Linked DNA regions of Drosophila melanogaster. Changing the gene in region 1 together with any one later gene gives a genetic interaction. Each region holds a gene or a part of one and is shown on either strand. Other genes may lie near its edges. The genes, in order: Tis11 and Pop2.

Evidence for each region.
Region 2: of Tis11 (region 1) and Pop2, changing one suppresses a phenotype caused by changing the other (phenotypic suppression), as found in Drosophila melanogaster (one study listed by BioGRID).

What each region holds. Positions count from the first base shown.
Region 1 is NC_004354.4:12,652,861-12,665,243, reverse strand, and holds the start of Tis11 (Tis11 zinc finger protein), read right to left. Parts: upstream 5,830-12,383; 5' UTR 5,696-5,829; exon of another isoform or gene 4,711-5,695; 5' UTR 4,461-4,710; coding exon 4,377-4,460; intron 28-4,376; exon of another isoform or gene 1-27. Other genes in the region: CkIalpha (casein kinase ialpha), read right to left, coding at 8,751-8,910, 9,092-9,866, 9,928-10,006; tomosyn, read right to left, coding at 12,041-12,297, 12,381-12,383.
Region 2 is NT_037436.4:11,995,827-12,008,209, reverse strand, and holds Pop2 (Pop2), read left to right. Parts: upstream 1-5,294; 5' UTR 5,295-5,615; coding exon 5,616-5,624; intron 5,625-6,278; exon of another isoform or gene 6,279-6,483; intron 6,484-7,008; exon of another isoform or gene 7,009-7,119; coding exon 7,120-7,460; intron 7,461-7,519; coding exon 7,520-8,255; 3' UTR 8,256-8,598; downstream 8,599-12,383. Other genes in the region: CG6928 (uncharacterized protein), read right to left, coding at 479-594, 810-989, 1,044-1,716, 2,018-2,293, 2,352-2,945; Grip163, read left to right, coding at 10,160-11,185, 11,247-11,400, 11,462-11,826, 11,885-12,383.

The DNA.
Region 1 (12,383 bases):
GGCCAGGCCAGATAGAGAGAAAGAGCGAGAGCGCCGAGGAGTGGGGGCATACTGCCAAATGCGTTGGTGTGGGCGAGATAGCAAAGCGACGACAAAGGCAAGAGAGCGCAAATACATATATATGAATGTATGTACGTACGTAGATATGTATATATGTGTTGCGTATTTATTTGATGTGCATGTTTTTCTTATATGTATTTTTTACAACTGCACGATAAGAGGACAGCCAGGCAACAGCAAAAACACTATTATTAATAAAAATAATAATAATAATAATAATAAGCAGTCAGTAGCTTCGCACGCAAATAACTTATTCATAATTTATTTTCATCGAAGCGGCAGCAACAAAGAATTACGAACAGCTCAATTTAAGCGAATATTACATTGTGGCGTATGTATTTTAAAATCTATTCTATATTTACACTTGTTTCACATTTAACCAACAATTTCTTTAAAAGTCCGAATAAAAACAAGTAGAACGGATTTGCTTTGTATTGTTTTCTATATGTACGTTTAGTTGTAGATGGAAAATCAGTAGCGGTGATCCTCAATTTCAACCCCCATCGACTAATAAACTCTTGACGAACTGAGAATCCCCCCCCTCTTCAACCATTTACCTCTCGCTTCCACTCCAAGGGTATCTCAAGGGTCAGCCAGTCAATATGCTGACAATGTGTTATTGTTGTTGTTGTTGCTGTTGTACTTATTACTTTAGTTGTTGTTGCTGCCCCGGCCTCATGTCCTCATGTGCGTTTTCATGAGTTTAAGTGCCCTGTTGGGTAGTGAGTTTAGTTGATATGCTCACTTTAGCCTTTTTATAGCCAGGTTCAATAGGAAACTGCCAGAATTCTAGGCAACAGCAGGTGCATGTTCTAGAAAACATATCACAGGAACAAACCTATACACTTAATGCCTTCATATAGTCAAGTTCTATTGAAAACGATTTCAGTTCTTACAGTTAGCAGGTGTACTTTTAGCTTCTTTCGGAAGACGTTAAGACATCTTTTCAAAAACATTGCGAGCTTAAAATGTCAAAAGAACCACATATGTACATATGTATGTATATGTGCACAGTCCGTTTTTAATGCATAGCAGAATATGTATCTAACTTATAGATGTTTCAAGCAAATTTCAATATAAGTTATGTCTGGCAACACTGTCGCTGCGCTTGCAATGTGCGCCAGTGTGGGTGAGTGAGTAAAAGAGACAGAGCGAGCGGATCGGGGACTTGAGCCTGCGATTTCGAATCGGTTCGTTTGGAATGGGTATATGGGCTCATGCGGTATTGGACCTGGACTTTAGGGATGGGGCTATTAATCGAGTCGAGTCGGTTCGGTTCGGATCGGATCGAAATGAAATGACGTTCGGCGGAGTTGAGGGTTAACGAAGAAGGAGCAGAGGTGGGGGGCAGATATAATGGAGAAGGGTGAGGATTGAAAATTGAAGAGTTGCCTTTTTTGTTTAGGTAGGTAGCGGTGGTGGTCGCTACACTCGCTCTTTGCTCCTCCTCCTTCTCCTCCTTGAACTCCTACTACTTCGCCTTCTCCCCCGCCGATCTGATTGCTCTTCTTCTTCGTCTTCTTCGCGCAGCAATGGCGTCGGGACAAACACACATCGCACAAGAAGAAGAAGCAGCCCAGACGAAGAAGAAGAGGGAGGAGGAGAGAAAAACACACAGATCAAAATAAAACGACGACGTTGTTGTTATCGCCTTGGCAGGAAATGGAATTATATTCGTAAAAAGTAGTCGCCGTTTGTCGCTCTGCAAGTGTAAGTGAGCCTCTTCTCAGCAGGAGAGGGTAGCGCTGAGAGCGGGCCGGGGGAAACGGCTGGATGGAGGAGTGCAGAGGAGTTGGGCAAAGAGCAGAGGAGGGGGAGTTTGCTGAAACGCAATACCGCTGATTACGTACGGGAATTTCGATATAACAAACTAAGCACATTTTACACATTTTACTTTTCAGCCTGAAAACGGAGAAGCCGACATACAAAAAAAAAAACACAAACCAAGCAAACCGACGAGACACACTACAGTGGTCACACGCTACACAGCTACTACTTGACTAAACCTTCATTTAAATATGGATAATAAAATAAAATACGAATAATAATAATTGATTTAGGAAACAAGGGCATTGTAGTAAAATAGATTTAAGATTTATATAAGAAGTCAAATAATACTCTTGCTAAAATAAGAGCAGAGTTTTAATATACATCTTTTATCGAGGTTTCACTGCAAACTGCATTTAACTGCATATCACATGGTAATACAATGTACATGCATATAAATTTCATAATAAAATCAAGACGAAACCAAGAAAACGAGAAATTAAAAGTTATGCGAAAAAGTGAATTTCAAAGTTGGCGCTGCTCCCTTCTCTTCTCTTTCGGCACTTCATTCTCCATTCTCCCCTTCCACCCTTTCTCTTCTCCACCGCCTACCTCTTCTCAGTGCACATTCCCGAACGAAGTGGCGCAGTAAATGTAACAAAAGCCAAAACCAAAATGTTTTTATAAATTCAAAAGCAAAGATTGTGACATTATTGTTTTTCGTTCATATTTTAACTTATAGCCGAAACAAAGACGAGTTAAAAAATGAAATTGATTTAAAAAATATAATTTCCTTATGCAAATATCTTTCATAATCTTATAAAAGAGTTGCAAAGAAGGAGTTGCAACAATTTTGTCGCCTAATAAAAAAGTTGCGCGGCAGCATTTCCTATTTGCCTGTGTTTGCTTGAAAGTGTTTGTGGTGCCCTTTCGCTTTCTGCAGCAATTTGTTGTTGCCTTTGTGGCTAAAAACTGCTGCATAATGACAACAAAAATATATCAAACAATTTTCAGTGCGAATCGTTGCTGATTGCCTATCGATAATCGATTGCAAAGTTCATTCAACAAGCATTTGCAACTTTATCGGACGTCAACCTGGCTTGGCCCTATTTTTATTATGTTTGTTGTTTTTCTCCTTGCTCAATGTTATTTTTTCCTTTCTATGACTCTACTTGACCCTTTGGCTTTGCATTTTAGTTTACGCAAATTTGCGAAAAAAAAGCGCAGGCACAAGAACAAGAAAATCAAAACAAAAGTGAGCCCAACACTGCTCCATCTGTCTCTTACTTTGCTCCCCTCTCGTTTTTACACGAAAAACCGCAAAACTTTTCACGTAATCGCTGCAGCAGAGCTTTTGAACATAAAAAAAATATTAAAAACTTAACTCATCCGAGAGCAATCAATAAACCCAAAAAAAACAAATGAACGAAATAATATGTATAAATAAAACAACAGAAATCATTAAAAACACAAAAATCCATCCAAAGCAAACCCGGAACTTGAGTTAATCGAATTTGTTGTCGATCAACAGCTGCGCTGCCAACGTCGCTGCCAGCAACACGCACACATGCACCACACACATACATACGTATGTATATACAAACAGTAAATGATCACGAGTGGTGTTATTGCTGTTGTTGCTGCTGCTTTTAATGATGCTGCTGCGATGACGCCAATTGTAACAAATAAATACGAAGAGAAGGGACAAAAAGAGAAGGTGCACAGCGTAAGGGAGCGGATCGAGAGGGAGAAAGAGCGGGTGGGAGAGAGTGATATGCAAGGATGCCCCGCCCCCTTCTCCAATACACTTATCACAAATCCTTATCAGAGAATTATTTAGTCCACTTTATAGTCTGTCGCTTATTTTCATTTTTCACCACCATCACACACACACACTCTCTATTTGTTGCTGTTTTTTGTGAGTTGACAAACCGAAAGTATAATTATGAATCAGCTTTATAATGGGGAATAACAAACAACAAATACAAGTGTAACAAAACGGAAATATAACGAAGTGAAAAATGGAAAACAAGTTATCGAAATTAAGCAAACGATGCACATATTGCCTTTAACAATGCGACACAAATGCGGCGCAAAATGCAACTGCCGAAATGAATAAACCAAAAAAAAACATGTGGTTTAGGCATGTTTTAAGTTGACTGGAAAATATTTTAAGTTTTCTTTTCACTCAATCTATATGGAGCTTCTCTAATTTTGCTTACCAAGTGCTTGACTTTTTTTTTTAGTGAATTAGCAATTTGAGTTTTACTAAATTTCTTGGAAGCCCAAATACCAAGACAAAAATGCATATGCGCACATCTGCATGCAATATAAAAACAACATAAGAGACCTATTGAATTAGTTTTGTAAATTAGTCATGGCATATTTATTCAATTTCATTCATAACTCTGGGTAAAACCACATCTTGAAAAATAACACTTTAAACAATACCGAATTTTGAGAAAAAAAAAACACAAGAACAAGAATATAATGACCGAACAGTTAAAAACGGAGGAAAACGTAGTTTTTGAGAATTTTGGGAAACTTACCGTTACGTATTTGGATATATCGCCACGCTCGAAGTAGTGCGAATCATCCTGCTCTCTTGATTTCTGCAGAATATCAGCAGACATTTTGTTGATTGGTTTTGAACAGATTGTTAACTTGATTTAGCCGTTGTTGTTTATTTGTTGTATTTTCCACTGGACAAGACAGAAAAAATGTGCGAATTTTTTCGTTTTGTTTTTCTTTTCTATATATCTTTATTTCGTTGCTTTTTCTTTTGTGTTTGATTTGTATTTGCTTTGCACTTGAATATTGAGTTATGTATGTTGTTGTTATTCGTTCCGCGAATATTGCATTGCAACAATAAAAAAAAATCAGCTAAAAGAGTGAAGAGAGCGTTTGATTAGCGACGAATAATGGAAGTGAGAGAGCGATGCACGAGGGCAGAAGAGAGAAGGGCAAAGAGCAAGGGAACAAAAATTTCACGTGCTTGTCGTTCGTATGCGTATGCGTATGGGAGTGTGTTCGTAAGGATATTTTCCAGGCACATGTGCAAAGGAAAGAAGAACCAAAGGCTGATATTCTTCGCTTTGCTTTGTCCCTTTTTTGATATACACATGTGTGTGTTTGTTAAACAGCCGATGTCTGTTTTATTTACGTGTGTGCGTTGTTTGCTTTGCTTTTATCGTCTTCGTTCGCGTTCTCGAAAAGCGAAAAGATAAGCTTGCGCTTCGTCCCTTCCTTTCCGTCCTTCCTTTCCTCCTTCTCTCACTCTATCTCCCTATGTGTGCCTAAGTGTTGCGTGTGTGTGTGCGATCTCTAGTGGTGGTCGTATATCACTTGCGTCTGTGTGTTTGTAATTCTTATATTATTGCTGCGACAGCGAACTCAAAATCATCAAAAAAAAAAACATAACACAAAAATCAAATAAAAGGGCAGCAATTTCTGTCGTTTATGATTTTTCCCTGTTGCTTCGCATGCTCCTTGTGCGCGCGGTTCTTCTTGTTCCCAAAGTCCTTGGGATTGCACACATGCGCGCATGTAAATTAATCGAATGCTTGCTTATGCTTATTTGAACATGATTCAAGAAATTCTCGTTGCGCCTTTTATATTCATTTACTCTTACTTTACACCTTTTAAAAACAACGACAACAGTGGACCATTTCTTACTTTACTATACAGTTAACTGTTGTATATTGATGAACAACCAATTCGAATTTTTCCGGCACTTGCAAAAAAAAATAAACCACGAAAAGGATGAAAGGGAATGTAAGTTGACCACTCGATTTGGATCGCACAAACACCACAAGATACACGAGAAACAAGCACACAATTTTAATTTGGCTATCGAATCGCTTATTACTTTGAATACGGGCGCAGAGGTCCTGTCGCTCTTCGCTCGTTCGCAAAAAAACACAACAAAATAGACGCAGCACGTCCGTCAGACAACCAGCCAGATCGGAATCGAACCTTACACTCGCACAAAAATGTCGAATCGCCGTTTTTTCGATTCGGTTGCCCGGCAGTGTGACCAGCCGCGAGTCAGCCGAAAAATGCCCACGTCATATATGCTTTTTGGTGAACGGCATTTGGCCTCCCGTTAGGCGCTCTTTTGTCAGAGCGTTTGAGTCTAAGATATGTAAATGGTTATTCTGTAGTCGGTTAGTTTTTACCTAGCTAAAAGAAAAAATGCTTCAAACTTGAAATGAAAGTTTTTTCATATAATACCTTTAAATCAAGTAGCATAGTCGATAGTAAATCAAGTAACATTAATCGAGCCAACTCGCTTGCTAGTGGTGCCACCTGTGCAAACTCGACTGGTAGAGGTGCCACCTGTACCTACTCGCTTGCCAGTGGTGCCACTGGATTGCCTTTAAATTTTCGAAGTTATTGGCAGCGCTGTCCCAATTTCTACTATTTTTAAAACATTATTGAAGCGCATAATTGCACTAGTTAGGCAACTTTAAGTTGTTAAAGATATATTTCCAGTCACTTCAGCTCCACGGGTGGCAAAGTCAAACTATGTGGCAGCCATCTAAATCGCAGTATCAAAACAAGCGCCATAGTTTAAATTTCATTTGTATTTTTCCCCATGTTAGCTTTTTAGGAATGTAATGATAAAATAATGACAATGTTCTCAGGAGTTATCCTGCAATAAGTTATTTATAAATGTAAAATTATAAATAGCAAATGTTTTAAGATCTCTTGTCAAACTAAAGAGACGAATTGATAAATGTTGCGCTTCGTTTTTGCTCTTTTACTATTCAATCAGAACTTTAAATGTTCTTATCAGCAATTGCACTGCAATTGGTGTTTTCCAATCAGCGCCTTCTGCTTGCAAACGGGGTGCTGATTGGAATGGGTCAGTAGTGCAGTGGACATCCCATAAAGTTAATAAATAATAAAAAGCACATTCTCACACACAGACGGACCGCGTACGTGTCATTGGTCAACAATGACGAATAAACAAAGAAATTAAGAGGGTCTAATAAATAAATGTATTTCACAGTCGGGTTGCAAAAGACGTCAGCTGCTAAATTCGTTTTGGATCTTAAGAAAGACCACCTGAAAGTGAAAAAACATTACGAATCGATTTTTGGAGGCATTATGGAAAATACTTTAAAGAAAGATGATTAACGCTGCGCCCCCCTGTACCATCCATTACAGTATCGCAGATAACCATTCCATTAAATATAAACGTAATTTAAAATATTGACAACTTTCTCTACAAAGATTCTACGTTTTTTTTCTCATCTCTTCAGAATATTTTGCTAACTACCAGCTATGCAATCTACTAGATGATATCAATAGTAGCAGTACAAATTTAAATAAACAAACCATAAACCATAAACCATAAACCATAAACCAATGTGACAATGAAATGTTTTTATGTCACGTTCAAGTTTTCATAACTAAAATGCATTATTAATGACTGAACGCAAGATCTGAAAAACACAGGCATTTTTTTGTGATTAATTTAAATATATAAAAGCATCTTTAATTTCAACTAAATTTTAATTTCAGCTGAAACGAATACAACTTTAGATACAAAGCACTTATGGGGGAAATTAAATGTTGGGGCTCAAATAAAACGTATGCATATATATATATATATGAATATACAATTTTTATGTAAATTTAATATAGTATAATAAAAAAACTAATTACATGCTACAATTTTAAAAAAGATTATTAACCAATAGAGCTAATCGCTAATAAACAATGACGTATATTACAACAATAAATATATTTGAATGCACTTCTTTCCCTTTCGTATGCCCCCATCTCTATCTAATGCAGATGTGAACAGCGCCGAGTCGAAATTTAATTTCAACATATTTATTGATGTAATTCAAAAAATTAAATATAAGTTATATTTATAATTATTACGGCGTACTATGCAAAATTACTTTGCAGTTTTGCGGTCTGTTTTCTTCTTTTTCTTTCTTCATTATAATTATTATTTGCTTGTTTTACTCTTGTTGCTGCTTTTATTTTATATTTTCCCCCATCTCAGTTGGCTTTGCTTGGTTGTTTCTCCTCCGCATCCTCCACTATATTTTTTTTGTTTGCTTTTCTCGGTGTGTTTTATTAATTTTTTTTTATTGTTTATTCTTATTTGTTTGTTGTTTTTTTGTGTTGTTGTTTGCTTGTTGCTGTTTTGTTTCTTATTTATTCCATTTTAATTAGTTATTGAGTTTTGTTTCGCTCGATTCATAATTAAGCATTGGATTCGATTTGACGTGAATCAAATGGGTATATGCATACATATATGGTGTTGTGTTTATTCGCTTACATATATACATATACATATATATATAGGTTTAGTTTCCTCAGCATTACTTCATTTTGTTCCTCCAACTCTACCAATATTATTTCTTGTAATTTATTAGGCTAAGTGTTGTTGATTTCTTTCCTCTTCTTTTCTTCTTCTCTCTTCTTTTCTTTTTTCTCCCCCTTTTGGGCAATGATGTTTGCTTTTTGAGTGGGTGGATGAGAGTGGGTGAGTGTGTGTATGTATGTGTGTGTGTGGGTGTGTTATGCAAGTATGTTGATTTGTGTATGGATTGCAAATTAGTTTAAATCGTATTGATTTGCAATAATTTCGGTTTATGTTATTATCGATCGCAGTGATTCACTCGTGAATCACATTTGCTGGGGTATCATTTTATATGCCCTGCTGATGATGCCGTTGCTTGCTTGTTTGTGGTTCCTTATTTGTTTAGTATTGAATTTAAATTAATATTAAGAAACATTCGGACGACCGCTGGTGTTACTCAATTTTACGGTTGCGTCTGTTTCATATTTGCTCCGCTCCTTGCCGGGCCTTTCGCCCACATCAACGTCATTTACATCCACGCATCCACGTTCTCCTTCTCTGATGCACTCCCCCCATTCGTCTGAATGCGCTGCAGCTCTTAGTCCGCGATCAGGGGCTTGCCGTTCTGCTTCTCCTTGTCCTTGTCCAATTGCTCCAAGAGTATAGCTGGATTGGGTTGACCCTGATGGGTCTTCTGCTTCAGCATTGTCCAGTCGTAGATGTAGTCATACTGATGGTTCAGCGTTCTGAACAGTATGCTGTATTAAAGAGAAAGTTGGGGTTACATCATTTCGAATTAAAAAAAAAAAACAAGAAAACTATGACCTAAACACATATCGAATACAGCCTCCACAATGATTATCACCACAAACATTATCACAAAAACAATCGGGTGTAATCTTAAGATTCGTATGCAATATATGATTTAATCGTACTCACCGGAACAATTGACGTAGGTACATGTAATCTGGCTGCTCCTCGAAGCGCAGGCTACGACAATAGTTCAGATACATGGAGAACTCGGCCGGCGAGCCCTTGCAGAGGACCTCGATGGGCGTGGACATCTTCTTTTCGGAGATCTTCTCGTATTTCTGCTGCTTGGTGTTGGCCTTCATGCCTTGCCATGGCAGTACGCCGCGATTGAAGTACATCATCACGTATCCAAGCGATTCCATGTCGTCACGCCGCGACTGCTCGATGCCCAGATGGGCATTGATCGAGGCATAGCGGGCAGTGCCGGTGAGGTTCTTGTCCTCGCGGTAAACGATGTGATGGCGCGTGTGCGGATCGCGGAACTTCTTGGCCAGACCGAAATCGATCAGGAACAGCTTATTGCAGTGCCGACCAATGCCCATTAGGAAGTTATCCGGCTTGATGTCGCGATGGATGAAGCACTTGAGATGGATGTACTCCAAGCGTCCGATCATCTGGTCGACGAGCATCAGAACCGTTTTGATTGTGAAATGGCGCGTACAGAAATTGAACAGATCCTCCAGCGAGGGTCCCAGCAGGTCCATGACCAGGGTGTTGAAGTTCTTTTCCTTGCCATGGTGACGTATACGAGGGAATCCAACGCCGCCGCTCAGAATGCGGTACAGCTTGGCCTCGTACAACAGCTGCGGATGGCGGGCGTGGGCGCTCTCCATCTTGATGGCCACTTCTTCGCCGCTCTGGATGCTCATGCCCAGGTAAATGTCGCCAAACGATCCGCTTCCTGTGAATAATTTTCAGAGATTAGAGAATATTGTGGGGATAAAATCGCACGGCTGAATTACCAATCTTCCTGATCACCCGATATTTGCCACCGACGATTATCTCGGGGCGACTTTCCTTCAATATCCGCATCTTGTCCATCCTGGCTAGCTGCTCCTCCGCCTAAGCGCTTCGCTTCAAAAACAGTTGGACGCGTTCACTTGAAAAACTGCATGGGTTGGGAACATTATATGTTTTGTATATATTAAGTTAAGAACTAAACGCTAGGAGTTACTAATTATCATTCTGACACTTGAACACCCTTCATCTAAACAACTATATTACTCTAATACTACAAAGGGACCTATTACAAAACGAACAGTTTTGCGGATCCCAGAAAATGTAATCGTGTACTGTTTTATATTTTAACCTTAAGAAAAATGAGTGGTATCTTCTCTAGAGTTGTTTCACAGTGTTTTTGGGAAAGTTTTGAATAGTTGCCCCAACACAAAATGTCGCGACGATTTACAGACCAGCTGACATTTAACTAATATCACCAGAGCCTCTTTTTGCTGTCATCCCTTTCTCAACACTTTCTTTTCCACCTCTCTTTCTGCTCTCCGGAATTTGTTTTGCTTTTCTTTTCCAGCTTGCACTTTACGTGTTTTTCTGATGTTTCTCAACGGACCAATCGATATGTCTGCATTATCGATTACACTTGATCCCTACTTGAGGTGATGGAGGTGAAGGAGGAGCAATATTTCCTTTTGCACGGGGGCGGGCTGAAGGGAAATTCTAAATAAACACAGACAGACATCGATATACGATATTTATTGGCGACAGGTACTGCTTCCTCTTCTTTCTTACCCCGTTGGAATGCATATTACACACACACACACACTCATTGCTATGACGCACAACAACAAAAACAACAACGGCAGTCAAAGCGATACACACACACGCACACAGCTGCAGTTGCACCTTACAAATGTTTTACACAAAAGAAAATTTCGAAGGCACACATATACACACACACACGAACGCAGAGTGTGAGAAGCAGACCAACACATTGAAGCGCACAGCGAGACACGCACACCATCGAAGACCCATCACACACACACACACGTTAGCATATTTAGCACGCATTTGAAACTGGACGAAATGGGTGAAAAAATGATGGATCCTCGCGGAAATCAAACGGTCTAAGTTCACATTTGGGTTCATTTCTTACCAGCAGACGATAAATTCAACTAATTATTGCCCTGCTGGTTGTTTTTTCTCAAGGTTGGGGCTCTCTTTTACAAATATATTCGCTGCTTTTGCTCTGCTGCTTCTGCTGCTGGTGGAGAAAAAAAAACGGAACGGGGAAAATTTCGTCGCAGATCCGTTTTCGTTTTCTTTCGTCGTTATCGTTGTTTTCCCATTCAGTTTATGAAATATTGCACGAGTTCGCAGCTAGTTTTGTACGCGCACAAACGGAACAAAAAGAGAGGAAATATATGTATTTTATTAACTAAAATAAAATGGTAGATCCAGCAAAAATGCTTTTGCTTATATCGATAGGGCCCGATAGGTTCAACCAAACACTGCCACCTGATATCGTGGAACGATACGCTCAGATAGGTATGAACGAGAAACGATACTTCACCGTGGCACACTGCTAAACTATCGGATTGAAATTGACTTCGCGACTCTGCGGCGATTTTCAGCACTGACACAACACTGCGCGGATAATTCAAATGGGGAACAGAAAACACTTTTCACTCGTGTGCTGCTGTTATGTTCGAATCTGATACTAAAGTCTACTCAGAGTTGATGTTACTATAAAGAACGATTGAAAGCAGCACCCACTTTGTTCGAGCGTATAAAACATGTGAAACAAAGAAATCAAATTAAAAATACTTTAATAACCCACAATATTCATGAATACATTAAGACTCCACAGTGCCTGTTTTTTGGTCTATATATTTTTATTAAAAACAGTTTTTTTTTGGTTGGGTTTTCTCTTTCAGTTTTTTTGTTTTTGTGAATTTTCGGTTTTTGTTGTTTTTTTTTGTTGGTTTTCGGTTTTTGTAAATAACGTGACGACTTGAAAACAGAAATTAAATAAGTGTACTTTACTCGTAATGTAGTAGAAAGTGTTATAAAAGCAATATTACAATAACTGTGGTAGAATTGGCTCCTAAAATAGATATTTTACAACTGATACCACTTCTTGTCTTTATATTTAAGCATTAATTGATGCGCAGTGCCGCTGAAATCTTGAGCAGTGTTGGCCATGCGCTCGGCGCGCTCCTCCAGCAAATTTAGCTTCTCGCCGCGCTCCATGGCCAGCTGGTGCGCCCGGCTGATCTCCGATGCGGCGGTGGAAGCCCTCTGGCCGAGCTGCTCCAAATTGGGGCCGGGTATGTGCCGTGCCACCGATCGATTCGGTTTCCCGCTCTGCTCGCCAACTGCAAGGATAGGGATAGGAATTGTACGGATTATTGAAATGATCGATGGTAACGACATGCAGATCTGATGCAGATCTACTCACATA
Region 2 (12,383 bases), on another chromosome or scaffold:
ATTTTGATATTCGATGCAGACTTTTGGGGGTAGGCTCGGGCACTCTGGGCTAAGATTATAAAACATTCTTTAACTTATTAGTGCATAGTTTTGAGCTGTTTTTAAATAAAACATTGTTGAACAACGGCAAGGGAGTTGAAATAACTGGGAAACATTTTAACGTTTGCAGAATATATTACAAATTTTCACATTTAAGAGTATTTAAATTTATGAACAAAATTTAAAACAATTATGTGAACTTATATATATGTGTGTGTATGTACAATTAAAGCTTAAACATTTCGGGGGAGAATAAAACATAGGAATGAAATAGTTTGAAATGAAATGTGGGCGTATTTAAGATTAATAAATAGGAAGTTTAGAGAGCTTTAAATGCTAATTTGTATACTAGCATGAGAGTGAACTTTCCATAAATAAGTTGTGTGTTCCAACGTATACTTAAGTACATATAAAATTAACAATGGTAGTTCTCTTTTATCTACGAAGATTTTCCATTAAGTTTACTCAGTTCAGTTGGTTCGCCACTATCGCCATGTACCAAGCGGGACTCGACGAGCGGTGCTGAAATCTGCAAATGCAGAACGTAGTCGGCAGCTGGAAGAACAAAGTTTCAGTTACGCCAAGAGCTTAAAGTGGGAAGACTACATGGAAATAAATAAATAGAAATGTGCTAGATGTGGCATGTTGTTTTGGGAGTAATCAAACATGGGAACAAGCTGTGGATGAAAGCGGAGGAAACGAAAAGCGTGAGATTTTTAGTAGCGCTAATGATACGTGTAAATGAATATTCTACTAAAAACTCCTCTCACTTTGCTCCAAAAGGAATTCCAGATCATCGGGGCAGTCTATCGTGGGGAAATCAATATTAGTCGACTCCTTGAGGATCACACCAATAGTCTTGTCCGCACTCATCAGAAACAAAGGTGCATTCGCCTTGGCGAGCTCCTTTTGCAATGAGCCCATTCCGCGAGCTGCCGTAAAATCGAATTCTGGAAGACAGCACATTTAAAAACCTATAGCAAAAAGTAAATCGTAAATCATACCATGCACGTGGGCGCAATCCAAGACCACAGGTGCGGTTCCATGAATGGTCAGAGCTTTTGAGATGCCCGAACGAACCCATTCGACTGCCGGGAAGTACAGTGAACTGTGCTTAGGGCGAATCAGAATATAATTGATGCCATTGGTGGTTTGCAGTTTGGAGACACTCAGTACGGGTCGAGCGGCTCGGTAAACCAGAAACGCCACATCGGTACTCACGCCCAGCAGAAGACCGATCTCGACGCCCACAGCCAGACTCATTACGAATGTAATGGCACCTGGAAGCAGCTCCCGCCGGCTGCACCGCCACAGCGGCTTAATGACCTCGAACTCAATCATGAATATCACCGCCGAGATGATAACCGCACTGAGAGCAGCCTTCGGGATGTACTGGAAATAAGGTGCCAGGAGGCCGAGTGCCAACAGAACCAGCACGCTTGTGTAGCAGCCTCCAAGCGGCGTCCTTACTCCACTGGCGTGGTTAACAGCGCTGCGCGAGAAGGATCCTGTCACCGGCATGGAGCTGCAGAACGCGCCACAAATGTTGCTCATGGAAAGTGCAACCAGTTCCCGCGTCGGACTCAGTCCAGCTCCTCCAAAGGCTTTCGAAATGGCTACATTTCCAAGCACAGCTATAATGGGTAGGATTAGCATGGAAGGGCCCAGTTCCGAGAGCTGAAAAAAAGATTAAAAACATTATAGTTAAGTTCTTCGGTTATCAGGAAGTTGGTCGATCGTGGAATTCTCCTTTCTATTTTTATCTACATTAAAAAGGTGCAATTAACTTTATAAAATTGGAACAAAATCCAGAGAGGGCGGAATACAAATAAACTCATTTTAATTTATTCTAAAGCCGAGCGACAATTTAAAACAAGAAAAAGGTATCTTAAACAAAGCAACGAAAAGGCAGACTGGCTTGATGATAAATTAATTCGGTGACAAAAAAAAGCTAATTAGTCTACTTGTGCCCACATACCATCTGTTCAAAGTTCTGTCTGATCTCAGTGCCATTCCTGTCCAGTATGGTGGTCTCAAACTTTGGCAGTGAAACGTTGGGCAGACCGCTTTTGACCTTTCCAGTAAGGATGAACGGGCAGCTCTCCATCTGCTCACATGTGCTGTAGGCCAGCACACTGGTCACCAGTACGACCAGCGCATTCCGACCGGTGCCTATTACCCAGATGCTACCACTTACAAGCTGCTGTGTTCGCAAGTTCCGGATTCGACCATCCAGCTTAACGTCTTTTAGTTTCTAAGGGAATTGAATGGGTTTATAAAGTAGTTTCTTAGGATATTTTAGACTCTCTTACCCGCAGAAGTAGCAAAACTATAATGGAAGTCAAACCAAGGGTAAAATCACCAGTTCTAACTTTGTGTAGATTTCCGAACACGGAGCGCATGGTATTGATGAAATCAGACCCGGATCCACCACGCAGTCCCAGCAAACCCTTTAGCTGCGAGGTGCCAATGATGACGGCGGTGGCCGAGGTGAATCCCACGGTAACTGGCAGTGATATCAGGTCCACCAGGGCACCCAGTTTCAGCACTGCCATACCCAGCTCCACAACACCAGAGATGAGGCACAAAAGTATCGCGTACGCTGGACCCGATCCCAGTCCAAATCCCGTGTGCCGGCTTGTCATCAGTGCGAGCAAAGCCGTGGGTCCAATGGTCACCTGCCGGCAGCTGCCCAGCATGGCGTATATAATACCGCCCACAAAGGCGGAGTACAGACCATATTGGGGCTCCAGTCCCGCCAGCGTAGCGTAGGCCAGTCCTTGGGGCAACACCGTCAGGCCGACCGTCACTCCGGCTATCAGATCCGCAACTGCATCTTGGCCAGTATAACCGTGCAGCCACTTTAGACCCGGCAGCAGGCGGTATCCCCACTTCCTCAGGCTCATGGCTTCTATTTCTGTGGGATAAATACAAAAAAAAAAAAAGAATGAGTAATGTATTGGAGCCATAAGAACATACTTCCCAGCTCATTACCAAAAAAAGGGAATTGAAAATATTCAACAAGATTAAAATAGAATTACGTCGTATATATTGAAGATCGCAGGTTCAACGACTTTTCCAATTTCGCATAATTATACATTTGATTATGAGACGTCTGCGTGACAGACGAAAAGATAGAAAGACATCAACTTATTTATCACCAATAAGCAAGTCATAAATAAACGTCGTAGAACTCAAAACAATAGAAGAAATACGAGTTTATGGTAAATAAAAAAGAATAGCTGCCAGAATTACAAATGGCTCAGTGAGTAAACTAGATGGTATAAATTAAACAAAGCTAACCGAAAACAGGTTTGCGTTATTTTACATTTTTTTGAACTGAAAGTGAATAGAAATGCCAAAAGAAATTAGCAAGAATCCAAAGGCAATCAAAGCTATTATAAGCATTACAAATAAGTTGTCTCAATCTTCGCATAGTATTGCATTCATCTAAACCTATTTATGGAATGATTGTTACCACATTTAAAAATAATTAAAATTACACGTTTCGCTCTTCTCAGAGCTATTCCACTTCACTAACAATATTGCATTCCATCCAAATTAAAACAATCTAATCCAAAAAGTCTATCTAACCGCAATTCGTTGAATTTGGTTGAAAACTCACGTATTTAAACAAATGTTTTGATGTTGTTGTCGTTTTGAAGGGCGCGTTCCATTCGAAATGCGAGTTCTTTTCGGTTCGAATTCTTCTAGAATTCTAGAAAGAACGGAGAGCTCTGGGGAAGATCAATTCGGTTCGGTTGCTGGCCAGAGACTGAAAAACGATCGCGTGAACGAAGAATTCCTGATCAGTGATCACACGACCACCTCAATTAGCTGAACAACTGGCGAAGTTGAAAGTATTGGTTCGGGTCGCCTAAAACGTGATCAAATTGCTCGACCGAAGGCACGAGATACAATGTGCACTTTAATTGAATTTCGCTTTGTTTACAAACTATTCTTTTCAATTTAGAGCCAATAATTATGGCGAAATTGTTTGTTTGTTATGTCATTTGCAAACGCCACAATGGCAAATATTGCCAATCGCTTGTGGAAAGAATGGCGAGTTTAGAATTGCTATTAGTTCCACAAAGCAATGATAATGCGATTTATACAATCGACAGTCAACAATTTAACAGCGTTTAGTGAACTATTAGGTAGCATTGTGAAATAAGTAATGAATATAATGTATCTTAAAATAATCAGACCGATTAGAGCGACTAGAATGATTTTCTAAAAACGCCTATAAAGGGGAGGTTTAAATGGAACGTTCTTGTTGGATCGGTTTGTAAATATTTAAATATAAAATAGAAACTAAATAAATTTGACATTTTTGCAACACAATCTAGAAAGTTTCCTTCCTTGTAGGTAAACTATTGAATTCCAGAGGTCAGATAAGAAGAAAAGCCCTTATCAGTACGGAAACGTGTAGTTCAAGTGGTTTTATCAGCATTTTGTAACCGGATTGAGCATAAAAATGCGAAACGTGCGAAAAGTTTATTAACCCTTTGAAGAAACTGGAGAAATCCGTTCTTTGAGGGTCCACGAAACCAAAATAATTGGAGAGATCAGTCGTTATGTACCGATGTACGTACATGTATGTATGTATGTATAAACATAATTGCCGATTGTTGACAGACGGCGAGCTTTATTTATCTTATTTGCTTTCTTTTTTTAATTTGGCATGTGTGAAAAAACTAGTTTTGCACTGTATTGGTATAAACGTAAACAAACTGAGAAAACAGTTGATTCAATTGTTTGTTTATTTATAACGCGAGCCAATTCCTCAAGAATTTGCAACAACAAATGGGTCAAGTTAAAAGGAAAGTGGGACAGACGTAAAAAGAAAAACCACAAATCCAGTAACATTTCTTACTTGATTATTATGATCTATATTTTTGTATCAACTTTTAACACTTAACATTAAAGTTAAAAAATCACAAAGCTACCACTTCTACCGGTGAAATTGAAATAAATATATTTGTTTGACTGTCAGCGAACAGCTGAAAGTCTAGTGTTGCCATCGCTCACCAACTTTCATAGTTTCCCTGGCGCCCTCTAGGCGGCTGCTATAGCGAGTCAAAGGCAGGGCTTGGCAGCACTTAAGTGGCTGAGTGCCTAATATTTAAATACAACAAAACCCATTTTTTTTTGTTAATTTAGATTTCTAATTACTATGCTTATGAACAGAAACTAAAAATTCAAAAGATGGGCACCACTAAAGTCGCCAAACTATCGATATTTGTAGCAATTACACGTTTTCCAGCACTTGAATCGAAGAGCGAACGTTTACCCTCACTGCCGCAATCGCGAACAATTTTTTATTATGGCACTTGCGCGGCTCACAAACGATATTCGCTGATAAACATTCATTGGAAATTATTGCCGAACGCAGAGGACTCCGCCAATTGAAGTGTGCGCTTAAAACGATCGCCGTGCAGGAAGCGGAAGTGCCCCATAACAGCTATTTTCTCGCCGCTTTCTCCCCCATCACCCCCCCGCAAAACAAGCGACGCCGATAGAAACATTTAATTTGTGCAAATAGCCGAAACCTACACGGTCGGCCATCAAATATTATGAAATGGGTAAGCTGCGAGGGTAACCACGAGTGGGTCCATTTCCACAGCCTTGCGTTTCCACGGCGCAAATCGAAAACGAACTGCAATTGCAAATGCATCTTCAATGCCGCTGCAAGTGTGTGTGTGTGTGTGTGTGCGGTGTGATGTGAGCGTGTGTGCGAGTGTGTGCAGTTTTCTTAGGGCGTTTTAACTGTTATTTATTTTCGGTTTCTTCATTTTCCGCAAATAGTCACTTTTTCGTGTTTGTCTGATTTCCCCCCCCCCCCCCCCCAGCCTGCACTATGAATCCGATTTCGAAATGGATTGAAATTCACACCCTCAAATCTTCAGTGTCACTTGCAAATGCTCAAAAACGTATGGAAATTTCTGACTTGCTATGATGTGACTTAAAATCATATTTTTATGTTAAACGCCCTTATATTCATAATTGGTAAAGCATACCAAATCTTAATTAATACAACATATAAAGGGTAGAGCAGCGATTGAGAACTTTTCTGCATATTTCAAAACCTTAAATATAACCTGTGTACAATGAGGGAAATGTTTCTCACACTGTAGTTAGAAATTAAGTCATGTTAATGCTGTCTAATTGCAGCATCAGCTTTAAATAACTTGCCCAGTGTTATCTGAAGGTGTGTTAATGCATGCGATACATCATAGGTGCAATAGGTATAATCCTGTAAAGGCAGATTGAATTATTATTCCGATACCCCTGCATTCGATCAGGAGCATTGATCCCCCGAATCAGAGCTTAAGACCACACATCCAGGTGGAACTTGTTGCTTGAGGCTTGGTTGTAGGTCAGTGCGAAGAGGTGGCTGATCCGGCGGCGAAGGGTGCGCACCAGGCGACGTCCGGCGACGATGTAAGTAGCGGCCATCGTAAACCCAATCACTCCAGTAACCACCTCCAAGCAAATTTCCAAAAAATCGTTACCTTCACTTGCCTTGTTTCGATATGATTTTATTTTATGTTGTTTCCTCGTATCAGCAGCAAAATTCGTGCACTTCTAACATCGATATTGGCCAATCTTCAATTGTGAACCTCCTGTTTAGTTGCGCTATCGTGCTTAACCAATTGGACCAGCTATTTTATTATGTTGCTAACTCTTACCTCCACATAAATACACAAAAACACAAGACACTGGGATTAGTCCTTATCTATGGAAATATTCGATATCGGTAACCTTACACTGATGTTTAAACAAATTCGAAAACTGAGCACCATAAACAACAATTAGTAAACCATCATTATAAACAAAGGTTTCATAATGTTTGTAAAACGTTCTTCAGTTTGTTTGTGCCTTATAAATCTGCATTGTGGAGCATTTACTATGCTTCATAAAATGATAGGACTTGATCAACTAATCATAGCATTGATGGCGAAAACTAATATTTCACATCTTAAATTAGGACTAAACAAACACAAACATATACACACTTATACACTGAAATATGTATACATTACAAGTAGTTTGACCCACAACCAATACTTTTCCCAGACAATGCCCTCGGCCATCAGTGGCGCGCCACATGCCCACATACCCAGCAACGAGGAGTGCGGCATCCGCGATGTGTGGAAGCAAAACCTGGAGGAGGAGTTCCGCACCATACGGAAAGTGGTGCAGAAGTACCACTATGTGGCCATGGACACCGAGTTTCCAGGCGTGGTAGCACGTCCAGTCGGCGAGTTCCGCTCCACGGCGGACTATCATTACCAGCTGCTGCGCTGTAATGTCGATCTGCTGCGGATTATCCAATTGGGCCTTACCTTCATGGACGACGATGGAAAGACACCACCCGGCTACTCCACCTGGCAGTTCAACTTCAAGTTTAACCTGAGGTAAAAGTGTTTTGTTTATGCTCTAATGGGGGGTCCTATATTATCGTTTGTTTCCCTAGCGAGGACATGTATGCGCAGGACTCGATCGATCTGCTGCAGAACTCCGGAATTCAGTTCAAGAAGCACGAGGAGGATGGCATCGATCCCATCGACTTCGCCGAACTGCTGATGAGCTCTGGCATCGTGCTGGTGGAAAACATCAAGTGGCTGTGCTTCCACTCCGGCTACGATTTTGGCTACCTTCTAAAGCTGCTCACCGATCAGAACCTGCCCCCGGACGAATCTGAATTTTTCGATCTGCTGCACATCTACTTTCCCAACATCTTCGACATCAAGTATCTGATGAAGTCGTGCAAGAACCTGAAAGGCGGCCTGCAGGAGGTTGCCGATCAGCTGGAACTGCGGCGCGTGGGCCCCCAGCATCAGGCCGGCTCGGATGCTCTGCTGACGGGCATGGCCTTCTTCAAAATGCGTGAGGTACAGCACACAAATGATTTCCACATTACACCGGTGGCGCACGATGTACTCTTTCGCTATCTGCTTGAGCACACCATGAACTTAAAGCCGACGATCAGCTGCATCCATCTGCTGAGCCGTCCGGCATACAATGGGGGCCCTGCCCCCGACGAATCTGCGATAATCAGCAGTGGCAACGGCACAGGCAACACCAACTCCACCGAGCAGTTCACCTCGAGCGCCTACATGGTTACACCTCCTAATACGCCCGGCATGGCCAAGAGCGATGCCGCATCGCTGTCCAATCGCCATACGTCTATTTCGAATAGCTTCGGATGATTAGACAGCTCGCTCGCTGGTGTTGCCGTGCACTTGCCACTGCTAACGTAACGTGCCTCCGCCCATCATAATCATTATTCCTTAGGTTTAAGGTTTTTCATGGTTGTCATAACGCATTTTCATACATAACTCATCTATGTACTTAGTTTTTTGTGACCTGCACAATTTACAGAGCCAGTGACCCAGAATTTATGAATGAAATCCATAATTTGAAGTGTTCTTAGTAGTTAGTTTGGAGCTGTTAAACCCATGTGAAACATGTTTATTTAGCTGTAATGCCCGCGATACGAATTGAAATGAGAAACGCGCTGGATTCGAATGGAAAATTAAATGAATTGGAATTAATTTTCTTTAAATGTTTATTTGCATTCTTTGGTGTTTGGGCATGGCATATGCATATCATAGCTTGCTTGATTTCATATGACATCTTTTTAATTGTATTGATGTTCATTTTAATTTATGTTAAGTTCACGCTCTTCATTTATATCGAATTAACAAATTATTCTTTTGTAATTTTAAGCGCTTTGCTGACATATGTTTCCACACGGTTTACTGTGTGTATCAGCGTACCAAGACCTTTATCTTCTAGAGAACTGCCGAATAGTTTTGAAATAACAAGAACATTGCAGAATAAATCCCATCCCATACTAACATTCATTAAATATGAAATTTACTAATATTGAAACCTCGTCCAATCACATCGGTTCTGCGGTATGTAACAAATCCTATCTACAAGTAGGACCCACCCATCTACTTGGGATTACTTTCTAAGACTTTGCTGCCGTAGAAATATGTGTGCTTTATACGCTTTGTAGCTCCCAACTAAAGTTGCTCGCATTGATACATCCCATAATTACCATACTTACCCAGAAACTGCTTTCTAACCCATTTGTGCTGTCCCATTCGAAAAACGATCCAATGTTCTGTACCTGCCTAATGAAACTTACAATCTTTGCAGATGTTCTTCGAGGACAACATCGACCATGCGAAGTACTCCGGACACCTGTACGGCCTGGGTACCTCCTTCATCGTCAATGGCACCAACTTCCACGACAGCAACGGTGAGACGAACAGCGCTTCATGATTCGTACTGATGGGGAACGTGGTCGTGCACGACAGGAAGTTCGAGCAGGAGGAATCACCGGGTCCGTCGGCATCTGTGCAGGCCACACCACCTGGCCAACTGATCCTAGCCGTAACAACACCATTGCAGTAATCTGTGGACAGTCGACACAGATCGTTCCCATTTGTGAACAATTATACCCCGTTGGCCATAAAGCTAACTTCTTGATGTTTCCCACGCAAGTTCAGATGAATAGGCAACCGTTCAATACGAAAACATGGCATAAACTAATTGTAAATCGCATAGAAATGAAAAACCGGCAAAACTAAAATAGATTCAATTTCAAGTTCTGCATGTCTTAAATGTGTTACGAATACAAAACTAAGGTATGTAAAATTAAGCTAAAACTGTAAGCCAATGAGCGAAACAGAGAATATTGTGTATTTGTAAAAAGAGCAAAAAAACAATATATTTAAAACTTTTTAATTTAGTGTACATTTCGAAAACGTGTTTTTATTTGAAGTATGAATACGAATCGAGATGTTTGGTTTAGTAGAAAAAAGATGGCGAAAACCTGTAGAAAAAAATATCAAATATCAAATATCAAATCAAGAGAAACCAAGAATCCCAATATCTACAGATGAAAACAAAATTTTCAAGGGTTAAAAATCAATAGTGGGTTAATGAACATATAAAAGGTATTTTTAAAATATAACGGAAATACGCCGAAGTAGCAATAGTCGGATTTTTGTGAAACTGTGGTGCGGTCACACCGAGCCTAGTCCTTATGTTTTGTTTATGGAAAATATCTTTTAGTTTTTGAGTATTAAAAGCCAAATCGATGGCAACTGTGGCTGAATGCAATCACAGCGTCCTCGACCTGGTAACCAAAATGGCCACAATGCTGGTGGCCGATGAGATGAAGCCAAAAAAACAAACAGCTGTGCTGGTGGCCAAAAAGCGCTCCAAAATCTATGAATCGCTGCTTCACAGTGAAACGATGTCGTCCCAGGACAAGCTGGAGATGCTCCACCAGGTGACCAGCGAGGTGGCAAAGAACCCAGACCGGATGGACATGCTGCTCAGGTTCCAAAATCTGCTAGAAGGACAGGATAAGGAAGAATCGGAGATTACACAGGACCAGGATGAGGAAAACCAGTCCGAAGTGGTGATCAAACGTATCAAGGCAGGTCCACTGCAGCTGATTGAAACCATAGAGATTGTGGAGGAGGCACTTCATCCAAAGGCCTTTCCCGACATCAATCAAATGAATCGCGCCCTGAAACCCCTGCAACTACAGCCATACTCCGATATTCTTACAACGAGTAACCTGAATATAAATTTTCCGCCAGAAAAGCTAATTCCGAAGATCATACCATCTACTGTAATTCGCATGGGATTATCAGAGTCCATTACACGCATGAGGAACGAAATGGAAAAACCAATGCATCCACCACCCCGATTGCCAGTGCTCGCGAAAAAAGTCGTAGCTCCATTAGAGGATGAACGACCTTTTGTGGCCCAGCCTGGACCGGAGAAGCACTTCGTTTCGGATAAATTGTTGACCAACGAACTTAAGATCCTCCGGAACAAGAACCTGGTTCTCAACTACCTAGATGAAGCAACCCTAATCGATCACCTAAAGAAAGCAGCGTGTGGTATTGAATCTTTAACGTTTCCCATCTCGTCGGCAGATAAGTTGGAGTTGCGAGTGAGGCCCAACACAACTTTGCCAACTATGCTGCCGGAGGTGCTGGCGGATTTTGCAAATCACTTCATTCGTGCCGGCTGCGCCTTCCTGCGTTTGAGTTCCCGCACCAAATGGAACAATATCGCCGAAATGCGGCTGGAAAGGCCTCTAAATCGAGTGAGATTGAATACCTTATTTCCAGTAGTGATATATTCAACAATCCCATGCTTTCTTATAGGCCATGCGAGAGACGATTATGGACTATCTAAGCACCACTCGGCAGTTTTTGCTCTCTTTGCAAGCCGATAGCCTTTTCCAGCTGCTAAACAACACCTCCACAGCGATTCAGTTACTCTGCCAACTAGATAGGATGTTCGAAAATGAACCAAGATGTAAGAATGCCGCGACGCGAAATTATTTCAGAATTAATCTCTTTTATATACATTAATGCAGTAAACCTGAACACTGGGATAACTGGCTCCTTCCTGTTGAGCTCCATCTGGCTGGCCATCGACACCTGCGGAAACAAAGACTTCCTGCACCTGCTCATCTATTTCTTGCGCTGCATATCCCGTAATTATTTTATTCAGCTACAGAGATGGATCTACCATGGTGAACTAGACGAGTCGGTCAACGAGATTTTCATCAGCCGCTGTCTGAACACTTCACCGTCTTTTACAAACCAGTGCAGCAAAGAGTTCTTTGACAAAAGCTATCAAGTGGACAACGAGGCGATTCCTGAATTTTTAGTCGGTTGCGAAGAGGAAATTCTTCAATGTGGCAAATACAACCTGGTGCTAAGGGCATATAACGCTCAGGTATGCAGAAGATTATTCAAAACTAGAATCCATATATAATGATTTATTCTTTTTTTAGCACCCCGTTTTTGACGTGCAGTACCCGGATATTGTGGTTTGCCTAACGGAGCAACAACTCAAAAATATGCGCCGCAACCTGGCCGATAAGTATGCCATCATCTATAAACGTTTCGGATGGTGCAGCATGCAAAGCATTTTCGAGGACCGCATGGCGACAAAGCGTGTATTTGCCAATCTAATGGTGAAGCGAACGCAGGCCCATCTGGACGCGTGGGCGCAGAAGCAGCGTGAACTCCAAATAAAAGCGAATGCCCAGAAAAAACTCCAGAACGATCAGTTAAACGCAGAGCAGGAACGTATCCAGCAAAATCACTTAGAGAAGCGGCGTCAGGACATTGTTAATGAACTTGCATTTCAGCGGGAATGCGAACGGATGGAGGATAAGCTCCTGGAGCGGGAAAAGCAAGAGCTGCAAAAGAAAGTGGTGCAGCTAGCAGCTGTCCTGTCGTCCAGTCCTGACCGAAGCACAGTCAGCGATCTCAGTTTTGCATCCTGCA